3 linked regions of the Arabidopsis thaliana genome follow. The protein of the gene in region 3 interacts with the protein of the main gene of each other region in a pairwise test. Each region holds a gene or a part of one and is shown on either strand. Other genes may lie near its edges.

Evidence for each region. Proteins that work in one complex are often made in the same cells at the same time.
Region 1: the proteins of AT4G00238 (region 3) and AT5G60142 interact in binary tests that used the Arabidopsis thaliana proteins (3 or more experiments, as listed by UniProt).
Region 2: the proteins of AT4G00238 (region 3) and HMG interact in binary tests that used the Arabidopsis thaliana proteins (3 or more experiments, as listed by UniProt).

The regions. Positions count from the first base shown.
Region 1 is NC_003076.8:24,215,447-24,219,791, reverse strand, and holds AT5G60142 (AP2/B3-like transcriptional factor family protein), read left to right. Parts: upstream 1-2,042; 5' UTR 2,043-2,200; coding exon 2,201-2,213; intron 2,214-2,327; coding exon 2,328-2,398; intron 2,399-2,439; exon of another isoform or gene 2,440-2,478; coding exon 2,479-3,097; coding exon of another isoform or gene 3,098-3,123; exon of another isoform or gene 3,124-3,183; coding exon 3,184-3,275; intron 3,276-3,366; coding exon 3,367-3,612; 3' UTR 3,613-3,845; downstream 3,846-4,345. Other genes in the region: AT5G60150 (uncharacterized protein), read right to left, coding at 1-98, 211-374, 478-560, 681-934, 1,032-1,229, 1,407-1,581.
Region 2 is NC_003074.8:10,783,215-10,789,229, reverse strand, and holds HMG (high mobility group), read right to left. Parts: upstream 4,343-6,015; 5' UTR 4,277-4,342; coding exon 4,223-4,276; intron 3,937-4,222; coding exon 3,751-3,936; intron 3,675-3,750; coding exon 3,569-3,674; intron 3,479-3,568; coding exon 3,342-3,478; intron 3,264-3,341; coding exon 3,180-3,263; intron 3,099-3,179; coding exon 3,004-3,098; intron 2,917-3,003; coding exon 2,808-2,916; intron 2,673-2,807; coding exon 2,586-2,672; intron 2,488-2,585; coding exon 2,395-2,487; intron 2,316-2,394; coding exon 2,118-2,315; intron 2,031-2,117; coding exon 1,885-2,030; intron 1,795-1,884; coding exon 1,647-1,794; intron 1,567-1,646; coding exon 1,459-1,566; intron 1,378-1,458; coding exon 1,195-1,377; intron 1,037-1,194; coding exon 958-1,036; intron 860-957; coding exon 732-859; 3' UTR 501-731; downstream 1-500. Other genes in the region: CYP81D11 (Cytochrome P450 superfamily protein), read left to right, coding at 1-466; AT3G28720 (uncharacterized protein), read right to left, coding at 4,891-6,015. UniProt on the Arabidopsis thaliana protein: Component of the FACT complex, a general chromatin factor that acts to reorganize nucleosomes. The FACT complex is involved in multiple processes that require DNA as a template such as mRNA elongation, DNA replication and DNA repair.
Region 3 is NC_003075.7:103,315-106,988, forward strand, and holds AT4G00238 (DNA-binding storekeeper protein-related transcriptional regulator), read right to left. Parts: upstream 1,908-3,674; 5' UTR 1,816-1,907; coding exon 778-1,815; 3' UTR 509-777; downstream 1-508. Other genes in the region: PLDBETA2 (phospholipase D beta 2), read right to left, coding at 3,066-3,359, 3,438-3,635. UniProt on the Arabidopsis thaliana protein: Transcription repressor that binds DNA in a sequence-specific manner, 5'-GCCT-3', to regulate the expression of PGR. Acts as a modulatory component for the glucose-triggered developmental leaf growth process.

The sequences.
Region 1 (4,345 bases), on a different chromosome or scaffold from region 3:
AATTGAAGATTTACTCGCCAGACTGGATTTTGTTTTACTCTTGGTGCTTGAAGTGTTTTTAGAGAAGCTTTCAGATCCTAAGCTCCTCTGAGAATTCTCTGTCATATCAGACAAAAAACCATGTAGCAATATATAAACAGGATGAAAAGTAACAGAACTAAAAAGGATATGAGATGAATAGTTTTTATTTGCTAACTGAAGTGAACATACTTAATTGAGTAGGTTGACTGTTTTTCGCTTTGATTGGACTTTGAGTAGTCCTTTTCATGTTGTTTCCAACTGTAACTGGGTCAGATTTGGTAGTAGGAACTTTAGATATGCTCAGCTCCCTGCAACGTGATGTTGTTGTATGCACATTTGCAGGTCTTTTCAGGGTGCAAGATGGTTAAGGTAAACAAGCAAAAAGAACACAAACAAGACCTGCAAAGGATATCAAGATTGCCTATACACTCAGTACTCAAAGTAAGAAAAGGATATGAAGATGAAGGAGGAGGCCGGGGACAGCCACTGCGCTTGGAACCACTCCTTAAATCCTGAGCTGAGATAACTTTTTTCTGGGCCTATAATGCAGATATTCGACATTTAGATAGACTGCGCCTCAAAATATATATATTTACGCAAGGAAAGAAACGACTTATGACCCTCATTAGCTCCACAATATTTAGGTCCAGTAAACTCACCGAGGAAGATTGGGATTTAGATGGTGATCCGTACTTGGGCATTATGCCACTGACAAGCTTCTTCTCTCTGTTTTTACTATTCACAGGCAAGTCGTTAAATAAGTTTTCTTCAAGTGCTTGTAGTCCTGGTGAAACATTACATTTGGAAGCTGACATTGACTCTCTGTACTCTTCCTGAATGGCAGCTAACCGATCTCCACCAAGATGGCAAGCAGTTCCAGTTATTTTAGATAACTCAGATGAATCCAAAACACCTGGTTCATGACCATATCACACATCTTAAGATTCTTAGTAACATAGACCAAATCTTTGACCTTTACTACTAACAGGAAATTGGTAAAAAAAAGTCACCTTCTTCCGTTGAAAAAGCTCTATCCCATGCTAAACTCTTGCGCAAATTAAACCCTGCATTCTTTTTCTTCTTCTTCATCTGTTGTCGCTCCACACTCAATTTGGGCAATTCAACTTTAGCATTCTCCTTTCCTACACTATCTGTATCAACTGAAGCGCATGGCTGCTCCCTGTTGTTGCTGGTGCCTGTTACTCTTCCTGCAAAAAGTATTAACCTTCATATATCCGCAGAATACACAACATTTATACTAATTTGCTATTTTATCAAATTAAGATTTAAACAATGCTAATTCAGATGCTTAAACACTCTAACAAAGGGAGAGAGAAATTATCAGAACGAAGCTCGGATCGAGAACGAGAAATTGAAGCGCTTACCAATTGGGGAAAAAGGAGGCCGAGTAGGAACGATACGACTAGATCTAGGGATTTGGAGAGGTGAGCATTTCAAATAACTCTTTCCTCGGCTCGAATTAGTTTTCTTCGGCGTATTCTTCAGAAGCCAATTATCTTCGTCGTCTTCTCCAGAGATATCTAAGAGATCCTTATCCATTTCTAGCTTCTCTTTCGAGCCCAAGATCTGACGATTAGGAAATCCGGAATCCTATAGCTAGGTTTTTTCAAACTTACACTGAGAAAATCTCTTCGGAAGTTGTAGGCGAAAATCCTAGTCGGTAAATCGGAAATTGTTCGGCCGATGGAAGAGACGACTGTTGATAGAATATCCCGGCCTCGTAAGCGGGAAGAGGTTGAAAAACTTGAAATTGAAAGAAGATCGGACCAACGTTCTCTATAATCTCAGGTTATTATTGTCATTTAAAGCAAATCGATTGGGCCGGACTTTAAAGCCCATTTATTTGAATTTTAAATTCTCGTTCACCCTTTATTGGTTTGGTTTGGTTAGGATAATATTTTTTCGGTTTGATTAAAATCATATCGGTTCGGTTCATGGAGCATTGAAGTAAAAGTAGTTAGCACATGTTTTATTTTTCCATTTGTAGCAATAAGCCTAGAAGACAATACAGTCTCTGTGTTATGCTACAAAAGGCAAAATCTCTAAAGCAAACCAAAAGATCGGAGATCTATTAACAAAGCTCTTTTACTTTTCTATTTTCAAGAACCATTTTCACCTTCACTTTCACTAAAAGAGTTAGGGTTTCAAAGAGGTGAAGATGATGAACAGAGGTTTCTTCTTTAGACTCTTGTTTTTATGTTAAGATCTTTATGCTATTGTTTGTTCTTGATTCTCCAATCACATAACCTATCCTATGTTCTGATTTTTTTCTTGCTTTGGAACAGGAATTTCTGTGGATGATTGTCTTCCAAAGTTCTTCAAAGTGTACTTACCTGATGATTCCGGAGATGATTTGGTAAAAATACACTTCTCTCTCTGTTTTTGGTTATATGTAGATTTTTAGTTTATTGAAACTTTTAGATCCTTCCTCTTCAGGAATTACCCATCTCTTTCAACAGCTTTTTACCAAAGTCGTTGCCTAAAAATGTAATTGTTAGAAGCATTTATGGAAACATCTGGAAAGTGGCGTTTAGGAAGTTTTGTGGTGATAGTGAGAGATTTGTTATGGTTAATGGGTGGAAGAAGATAGTCAAGGACGAAGATTTGAAAGGTGGAGAGTTCTTAGAATTTGAGTTTGATGGCTCTTGGTGTTTCAATTTCTGTATCTATGGTCGTGCAACGTGTAAAAGGCTTAGAAGTTCAGTGCAAATCACGGTTCTTGATGACAATGATGATGGTTTTAATGATGATCAAGATTATGGGGAAGAAGTTAAATCTAGTGAAAATTTCATAGTTCTTGATGATGATGATATTAGTGATGTTCAAGATTATAATGAGGAAGATACATCTAGTGAAGATATTACAGCTCTTGATGATGCTGATAATGATGATATTAATGATGTTCAAGATTATGTTGAGGAAGATACATCTAGTGAAGATATCATAGTTATTGATGATGATGATGATGATGATGATCAAGATTATGGTGACGATGATCATGCTGATGTTGAGAAAGAAAGATGGAGAGGAGTCAAAACAGAGAAAAAAAAGAAAGGTATAATAGAAACTTTTGTCTTGTGAAGTTAACTGAGACTGAGAGCATCACTGTCTTTTTATTTTCTTGCGTATAAATTTTGATAGGTTCTTCTGGAGAGCATGACAGACAATATCTGGATAATCACATGAACCCTTTCTTTACAGTGAACCAGCATCGGCAAATAAAATATAATATGGTAAGAAATGTGAAGAAAGTCTCATGTCTTTTTGCATTTTCATTAAAATAATGTACCACTTCTGTTTTATGATGTTATCTTTGTAATGCAGCTGCGCATACCAACTAAGGTCATAACGAAGTATGGCTTACACTTCCCTGAGTTCATCAATTTGATTGATCCACTCGAGAAAAACTTTGGTAAATTGAAGAGGAAAGTTAAGGGTCAAACAATCAAGGGATTCCGTAGTATAATCAGAAGGAATAATGTGAAGTTGAATGACAAGGTGATTTGTGAGTTAGAAAAGGAGATGGATGGTCTTGTTCGAGAAATCAAGGTCCATGTTATAAGAGGATGATCTCTTGATAAGGCTTTATGCGTTAACTCCAAGACATTATCTATTTTTACTTGAGAGTTTTTATATGAGTAGAGTACTTGGTTTTATGAATCTTATTGGTTTTCTCGGAACATAATCGATGTTGATGCTTTCTATACACTTCTTGATTTTGTTTGTTTGTCTGAAACATGAAGTGCAAAAGACGATCAACACAGTCTTACAATAATAATGTATACTAGAGCTATAGATTTTGGGAGAAATCATTATGAATGGTTCACACATCAGGGCTGTTTAAAACCTGCGAGTTCATGTAAAAAGAATGTTATTACTCTCTATGTGATCATAAGAAAAGCATTGGCATAGGAGGAGAATAATACTAAGATACTTGGAACTCTGCCACTTAACACTATCTCATTCTTCTTTCAAGTTTCAAGTTTCTTGTTCAAGAATTGAGATGTCACAAGTCCTTCTTTCTCTAATATACCCTTCTCGACTCTTTACTGTGGTTCTTTTGTTTAAGGACGATAATGTCATTTACACGATATAGATTGAACCAAACTTAAGGCCCATTTCTTGTTTTTTGTTTGGGCCTTAGCGATACCTTGGTCCGCTTAACGAATTATTTTTGAATAAGAAGAGTACTATTAATGGTTTGTTTTCCATTTGAAGGAAAAAGCATCGAAACAGAGAGAACCCTCTGTTTTTGCAAGTTTTTGCTACAAAAGGCCAACACCTTTAGATCAAATCACATCTG
Region 2 (6,015 bases), on a different chromosome or scaffold from region 3:
ACTTCCTTACCTTCAGCACATTGTGTCAGAGACTTTACGGCTTTATCCGGTGGCTCCAATGCTTTTACCCCACTTAGCATCAGAAGATTGTATAGTTGATGGCTATGACGTTCCACGCGGCACAATCATCTTGGTGAATGCATGGGCCATCCATAGAGATCCAAAGTTATGGGAAGAGCCAGAAAAATTTAAGCCGGAGAGGTTTGAGAAAAAAGGAGAGGATAAAAAGTTGATGCCATTTGGGATTGGACGACGATCTTGCCCTGGTTCAGGGCTAGCTCAACGGCTAGTGACTTTGGCTCTTGGATCATTGGTCCAATGTTTTGAGTGGGAGAGGGTTGAAGAAAAGTATCTAGACATGAGAGAAAGTGAAAAAGGAACCACAATGCGAAAAGCTACATCGTTGCAAGCTATGTGTAAAGCTCGTCCCATTGTCCATAAGGTTTTAGATGCTTCTTGTCCATAACTTTCATCATACAGAACCTCTTGTATAACAATTTCGATAGAAACACGATCTGTTTTGTTGCTTCTTAGCTATGGCCTTACCAGAGTACTCTATATTTTGAGGTAAAGACAGGCTCTTCTTTTCTAGGAAGTAACACAAGATCTTTAAGGTCAAAGAGAAAAATCTGGTTAACTCCAAACAACTAAAGGTCCAACGTTTACTACATGCCATAACTTAGTATTGTAGGTAAATGAGATACTAGTAGAGAATGTTGGAGAATCAAAGTTTAGTTACTATCGGAATCGTTTCCTGAGTCCACATTCATCGGCTGAGGGTTCTTGTAATCACTGATCTCATCCTTGTATCGCTGCTTGTCGACTTGAGCCTTGGCTTCATATGGCTCTTTATCATCAGCTATACATACACACGGTTGGGGAATTAAAACACATTCACATGATAAAGTAAAACCAAGTAATGTATTTACTTTTGAAAAGGATCTTCAAATTTTTTACCAGACATTTGACGCCACTTATCTCCAAGCACCTTTCCCACCTCTCCAAATGCTATTCCTGGGTGTTCCTTCTTTATGTTCTGTTCAGTTCACAAATGGAAAATGACATAATCAGGAATGTGCTAAGTTTGTCTGTTAATTGTTTGCTCTCATGTATGTAATAGACCGAGGATACTCCATTTCGCAACTTAGCCTACATCATAGAGGTAAAAGTAAAAGAAAGGAGAGAAGAACTCACATCTCTTTCCATTTGGGAAAAGAACATGAAACCAGACATTGCTCTTTTTGGTGCGTTGGGATCCTTCTTCTTCTTCGGCTTCTTCCTCTTACTACTGCCTTCGTCTGCGGCTACAGTTTTCCTCTTAGGAGGCAATCCTTTCGATGACGAAGCCTCTTTCTTAGGTTCCTTCTTGATAGATTTCTATAACAAGTCAATGACAGGAAGATATGAGAAACAAATACTGCTGCTGAAAGAGTTCGAATGAATGCGACAAAAGTTTACCTCTTTTATCTCTCCTACACCGCCTTCACTAGCATCAGAGTCGTCCCCGCCAGAATCATCAGTTGGTGAACCACCATCATCATCCTCACCCATAACAAAGTCTTCGTCCTTCATAAATTAAAAGTCTCGATTATCAAACACATGATCATTAGAATATGAAGTAATTCGGTCAGACATAAAGTACTTGCCTCCTCATCACTCTCATCAGCAGCTTGGTTTCTGATACGCGTAAGATGAGGGTCAACAGCATCATCATCATCATTATCCCCAAGAACAGCAGCAACACCGTCTGCGGTACCCGCACCTCCAAGGTTCATAATCTTCAAACCCTTAGAGCTGCAGCAAGAAAACATAAGGAATATTCACCACAAATCTTAAATGCACTCAGTAAATATAGACGGAGACAATGAAATAATCCGCGCTAACCTTATGAAGGTATAGAGATTGTGATACTCATTTCTTTGAATGTTACGGAACAGATGTTCATGGTCAGTTTTCAGTCTTATGAGAAGATCAAAGTAATGCATGTTAGCACCACCAGCAGCATGCCTTTCAAACTCGACATAGTCAATCTAAAAACGAAAAAAAAACAGGTTAGAAAACCCAACTCTATCTCAAAGCCTATAAAAAATCTCCAATCCTTAATAACCATAATTTACCTCATCGTGAAGTATAAGCGTTGGAGGTTTAGGTAAGAAGAAAAATCCCTTCTCGAGTGGATAAAGAACCCCATCTTCTGCCTTGAGAGACGATTTCACTGCAAACCCATCTTGGGAACTGCGGAACTTCCCAGGTTTAGTGATCTTTGCACCAGACAGCCAACGCAACACGGTGGTGAATACTTCATGAATGAGACCCTGAAAATTCATACAATTCAGCGTATGTATAAATTTTTTTATTCAGGAACAATAATGTAAGTGCAGACCAGACAGAAACCTTATATGATCGCTCCAGCTTGTCCTTGAACTTTGTATTCATAAGTTCATCACTAATTGACAGTTCACTTTCGACAACGGTGTCTGTTTCAAACTGGAGAAGATGCAAAAACAGTTATGTAAATCAGAGTAAAAAAACGAAAATTATACATAGAAAATTGAAATGGAAGGAAAAATGTAAGTAATGTTTACCTGCATAACAATGTGGGGGTACATTGTCTGACCTTTCCGGATTGGTGGGTCTAGAGAGATAACAACAAACGTGTGTGGTTGGTTTGACTGCTCAGGCATATAAAAAAAAATACGAACTCAATTAATGTGAACACGATTCAGTGATCATAATACGATAATCCCTTTAATCTGATGACTGCTAACATAGGTAACTGCCCTGAGATATGCTTAAAAAAGAATTACCTTTGGAAGCAAGAACAAACGGACAACGCTACTGTACTGGATTTTAAAGTCATTAGCTTGTCCTTGCAATCGTAAGAAAGAAAGGTGAAGTTCCACATTGTACCGACCCCTGTGATAGAAACAACCAAATCATTTAGTCATGACAAGATGAAGCCATACAATAGTGCAACAAATGTTTAAGTAATCAACTCTTTACCTGGGTGTGAGGATTGCAATACTCTCAAATGTGACGACCGCATCCTCAACTCCAGGACTAACATCAGCCATTGCAACGATTGTGTCATTGAAAACCTGAGACATTCTTTTAGCATCAACAGAAAAAAATATATACTTGAGGCACATACATATAATGAAAATAGTTTGGGAACTCACTTGAGAAGGTGGACGGTTTTCATCACCAACAAACTGAGTGTTGGAATTAGGAATATGAAAACTAATCTCCATCAGCGAGTCTTTCTGTAAACACGTAGAATATAAATCAGTAAATGTACATACATAACAGCCTAGAGATTACATATCAAAAGAAACCAGTACCTCATTAGCACCAGCAGTATCATCAACATGAAACTCCAAAGTAACATCATTTTTCCCTTGAAGCTGAGTCTGTGAAACATCAGCTAAAGATACTTCAAAAGCTTGTTTTGATCCAACCAAAAAGGTTAGTGTATTCCCTACACAAAGAAACAAAAAATTCTCCCTTTAGATCCACAAATGAAACTAGACAACCACAAGTAAAGCCTAAAAGCTATAAGAACTCTCACCGTGTAAATCCACCTCTCCCCAATTACGACCACTAACTGATAATTGCTTCTCATCCGGTGTTTTTCCATAAGAACTTTGGAAAAAGCTAGACAGACTTGGAACATCCTACAAAACAAAGGAATCAGAACAAGCACAAACATTACAATATCAAATCAAATAAAAAAGATATACACACACAAACCTGATCTCGAAATCCAACGAACTTGTAGTACAATCCATCTTTGGTTTTGACTCCCAATTGATTACTCTTTGTCACTTTCGTCCAACTAACACTTACAATATCAGATCTATCAACTTCCACAGCTTTTCCACCACCTTGTTTCTTCCATTGAATTCCTCCAGAATTGATTTTAAGTAAACCCGGGTTCTAAAAAACCAAAATTGAAACCCTAATTAGCCTTAAGAAAACCCTAAAAACTACCGCAGCTTTAACAATTGTAAACAAGAAAACAACACAACTGAAAAATGAAAGCGACAATCTTTTTTTTAACCCTAAATTTGACTCATTGAGTTCTTTAAGAATCGAGCGGCGGAAGCAAAAGGGGATACAGAGAAAGGAGATTAGGGTTTTCGAAGGAAGAGGAAAAGGTGAAAACTTTGAAGGAATTGAAAGATCTTGAGAGATAGAAGGAGACAGAGAGAGAAGATGGTACCTTTCCACCGCGACCGCTGAGAGAGATATTATTGAAGGAGTGGCCGTCCGCCATGGTTTTCTGTTGAGAGACACGAGAGAGACGAGAAAGCGAGAGCGAAAGAGAGAGAGTGATTTTTTTTTTTCCAAACTATGATATCAACTTTTATACATAGACACTCAGGCGGTTTAATTTTGGGAAGAAAACCAATTTTCGAAAATTAGATTTTCCGGTTTAATTGAATTTTTGAGTTTTTGGTTTTGCAGATTTGGGAAAAAGACCTTTATCAAAAAACGGTAAAAACAGAAGGTTGTTTTGAGTTTTGGATTTTTTCACATTTGGAAAAGAAACCTCTTATAAAACAGAATTTTATATCAATTATGTAGGCATGCGGGTTCGGTTTACCAAACCGGTTACTTCGGTTTTGTTTGGCTTTGGTTAGGAGGGGAAAACCGGTCTAAGGGTATGGAGAAGTGATTATTGAAGGAGACAATAGGAATGTGATGGAGCTATTCAAAATAAATAGACAACCAAACAGAGGATCCGAGCATTGTCTCTATTGTTCAACATTACCAAATGGAAACAAGCTCATAATAGTAGTACATGTTGTATTAACCTCAAAAACCAAACTATCAAAGTCTTTTTATCCAATGTAATGACTATAAATTACCCTGCATTGCTAGAATTCTTCAGAACTGTTTTCGTTTGTTCCTAAAGAGTCTATCTCTTTTCGAGAACACGTAACCAACAGCCATTAACCCGAATCCCGACACTGAAACAGTTCCCCATGGGAACGGTGGATCTTTGAAACAGTTGAGACTCGCTTCTACCCGTTGTGACGCGAGGTACACTACTGAATGCACTGAGTACAAGTCGTGTGAAGCTGATCTTAAGTAGAACAAAGCCATCTCGAACTCATTGTGTGATAGAGCAGAAACCGTTTTATCCAGCTTGTACTGCATAAGATTCCACCTTTGCATGAACTCAGAGTGGCGATTCTGTTTCCGTAGGATCACATCTCCTCCATATGCAACCGCGGAATCGATAACATCGATTGCACTTGTGATAGTTGTGTTCAAAGATGTCAAAATCACGTTTCTCTTAGCAGCATCTTTCTGAACAAACGATAGAGACGAGATATCAGAGAATGGTCCAAACGGTGTTTGCCCAATGCTCCATGTATAATCAACTAGAGTTGTGTTATGTCTCGGGCTCCATGTCAAATGAGTAGAAGATACACCCCACATACTCTGCAGAATGGAACCAACGAGAGGTCGTTCTAAGTCTCTCGTATGAACAAACACATGACGCCCGTTGCAAGTATAATCACTAACCGTTTGAGTTCCTCTAGTTCTAACAGCAATCACCATATCTCTAAAAGCAACAGACTGATGATACCGATCAAGCAACAAAGGCGTATTGATATCCAAATCAAACACATAAACAGGTAAAACCCTAGCAAACTCATTTCCTTCTTCTTCAACAATCCCCGCAACTCTCCTCAACTCCTCAGCCGAATCAGTCAACGCCCGATGCATATGCTTAGAATCCAAATACTCACTCACAATCAAAGTATAGTTATCAAACAAAAACCTAGAAGTATACGAATTCATCCCACGAGATACCGCAAACGAACAAATCGAACATTCTCTATAATTCACACTATAACTCTTAAAACTCAACTTCTGTTCACCTAACAACAACCCACCACTCTCAGCTTCATCCATAAACGTTCTCTTCACAAACTCCAAATCTAACCCACTCGAATCCTTAACCTCTGACCCATACACATGAATAAACTGAACCACCAACGT
Region 3 (3,674 bases):
TTGCTGCTGTAGACATTGTTTTACAAAATGAAGGTACCATTTGACCGCAAGAATTAAGCGAGAAAAGTGATGTTTAGAGCTTCGGGGTTGTTCTTTTAGAGGTTGTCACAGGCCAACCGGTGATTGCACGTTCAAGAACAACAGCAGAGAACATACACATAACTGAGTCGACTTTAATGCTGTCGACAGGAGATATCAGAGGCATTGTGGATCCAAAGCTAGGGGAGAGGTTTGATGCTGGTTCGGCATGGAAGATCACTGAAGTAGCAATGGCTTGTGCATCTTCTAGTTCTAAGAATAGACCGAGGATGAGTCATGTAGTTGCTGAGCTAAAGGAGAGTGTAAGCAGAGCAAGAGCTCAACAAGTGATATGAAATTGGGACAGTAGTTAGTAGTAACCACAACATGTAAAAATTCAATTGGTATGATAGCTAACAATCTCCCACATTCTGTTGTGTGTTTCTTTGTTTTGTAATAACTCTGGTTACGAGTAGAGAGACATTCATATAAGAAGCACATTTACAAAGTCTTAAAAGTTCATTATAACCATAGACCAAAAGGCTAGTTAGACAACTTAGCTAATTCATTACAACCATCGACCAAAAGGCTTGTTAGACAAAGCTAATTCTCACACGAGAATCCAAAGTCCTAAAAGTTCATTAGAGTAGATAGAAAGATGAAGCCTAAGATAGATAACAAAATAAGGCATTACATCTTCATTAAACCCGAGATTAAACGGATAAACATATACAATCCAATAGCTTCCTCTTCTTCTTCTTAGTTGGTTTGAGTAAGCACTGAAGTCACCTCCTTCAAAACATCCATGTTCGCCAACAACAACTCACATTTCTTAGCATCCACAAGCTTCATCTTCTCTTGAATCCTCTTCTTAGTCTCCACGGACACCTTGCTCCACTTCTTCTTCACAGAATACTCATCCAAACCGAGACTAGCGATAACCGGAACAAGAAAAGACTCCTCAAACCACTCCGAATCTTCTCCAAGAATCACGACTTGCTCATCTTCTTTAACCAAAGGTTTCACGTTCTTCTCCTTGCTATTAGCCTTAACAAGAACAGATTCATCTTTCACTTTCTTCTTCACAGGAGTTTCAAGGCTCACACCATCAGATCCCCAAAAAGAAACAGCCAAACCCAAACACTTCTTATCATGATCCGATTCAACACTTCTCACCTTCCGGTCACCAAAATACTTTCTCTTAAAGCTTCTAATCTTGTCAAAGAACTGGACTTTACTAACATCAAAGCTTATAGATTTCTTGGCGATATCAAAAAACCTATCCTTATGATCCCAAGGACTTGTACCTGTCTCAGCTTTGAAATCGATCATTGCTTGCAGGAGAGAGATCTCGTCTTCTTCACTCCATACTCTCTGAGCATGCCCCTTTTTGTTATCGCCCTCTTTCTTAATTCTTTTGACATGCATGTCCCTTGACGTGGTTCCTTCGCTAGCTCGCTTCTTCCCTGACTTCACCGCCGGTGATTCAGTAGCACCTTCGTTATTCCCTGACTTCACTGCCGGTGATTCAGCAGCACCTTCTTTCTTCCCTGACTTCACTGCCGGTGATTCAGCAGCACCTTCTTTCTTCTTCCGCCTGGTTAAGACGAATGACTGCTTCTCTGACTCTGAGTCATCAGAAACTGCCACGGCGGCGGAAGGAGAGTTTAGGGTTTTTGTTGACGGAACAGTGACGGGAGCTTCTTTGGGTTTGCTTTCTTTAGAAGAAGAGATCTCTTCAGAAGAACTCTCAAATTCGCTTGAAGAATCGATTGCTGGATTTTCCAAAGAAGCCATTGGATTTTTTTCGGTATGATGAAGAAGAGTGAGTGAGAGAGTTACTTTTTTTAGGGTTAGTGAGCGGCGAGACTTTTTTTCCTTTAACGCTGAACATTCTTCACTCTCTTTTATATTTAACAAACAATCTAATTAAACAAAGCCCAACAACAAATTAAGGTTGTTCGAATGTTGTCTGCTAAGAGTTTTGGTGGGCTTGATAGGGACAAGGTATTGACTTTAGACTAAGTATCATCGGTTGGTCTTGTCTAGTGTTCTCCATTTCATATTAGTCGTTTTGCTCTGCCTATAATGTTCATTGCTAGGATTCAACAGAGAATAAAGGCTACAATAAGCATATAGTCTTATCTTCTTCAGGGGTTGCTAACATTATTAGTTTGAATCTGATACGCATGGTACACACTCTCTTTAGTCTCTGTAACAGTCTTCTCATTTTTTGAATGATACTACTACTGCTAGAGATCTTTGCCGTTAAATATAGACAAAGTTTAGTAGCCAGGCTAGGCTTGGACATTCGGATTTCGAATCGGATATATTCGGATTCGGATCATTAGGATAGGAGAACTTATTATCCGTACGGATTTTATGAATTTTCGGATCGAATTCGGATCGGATATTTTCGGATTCGGATAATTTGGATAGAAAATTTATTATCCGTTCGGATTTTACTAATCTTTGGTTTGGTTTTTGTTCGGATAAGTGTCGGATTCGGACCGGTTTTTAAAGAGCTAAAAATTGTTCAACTTAAATAAAAATTGGTTTAATCTTTACTAAAATTTGGTTAAATTTTGCAAAAGTATGTATACTATTAACAAATGTAACTAAAAGATTTCCAATTTCTTTATTATTTAGGATATTTTGTTATTTATTATAAAATTACAACTAAATATAAATAATATTTTTGGATATATATATTTTTCAGTTTTCGGATATCCTCTCGGATTTCGGTTCGGATCGGATTCGGTTCGAGTAATTCGGATAGGAGAATTCATTATCCATTCGGATTTTGTAACTATTCGGTTCAAGTTCGGTTCCGGATCGGTTTTCGGATTTCGGATTTTATAGCCAGGCCAAAGCTTTTTCATGTACATGATTTCTTATTCTAAATAGAATTAGGATTAAGTAGCTTCTTTTTACTTGTTATTCAAACTTGAGGAGAAACATCAAACTTTGTTTATTTACAAAGTCTGATCAATTGTTGTTTGTTTACACATATAAGGTCTTCTTAATAAATGCGACTCTGCTTATGATTAGATAGTGAGATTCTCCTGTATGGCTAGAAAGGATCCAACAACGTTTCCTCCGACATCAGGGAACTCCTCACTTCCTGGAAGTGGTCGGACTTTGCCTTTCCGATCAACTTCCACCGGATATTTCATCAGATGTCCTCTCATCTCCGACACTTCCTCACTCCTAAACTGTTCCCAGTTCTCCTCCGCCACTGTTCTCACTTTCCTTACACACCCTAGACTCTCTGGCTCCACAAAGCAATCATCTAGCAGTGCCATGTGTTCTGCCCAAAGCGACATTCTATATCCGTAGATCTGCAGATTATGTACCAAGTATTATTGATACGACTAGGACTATGAAACCATGTGTGTACTATCTTTGTGTGCTATTACCTGACCCCGAGGACCTGACTGTCGTCGTGCCCATGTATGTTGAGGCTGGTAAGCTCCCATTGCAATCTCTGTATCTCTTGTCCCCTCCATTGATCTTTGGTTTATGTTTGCAGATCCAATTACCACATACTCATCATCAACAACCATCCCTTTTGAATGAACATATATCATAAATCTTCTGCTCTTTCGACATAATCCCTATAATACAGTTTCAATCAAAACTCATCAATCAATGAC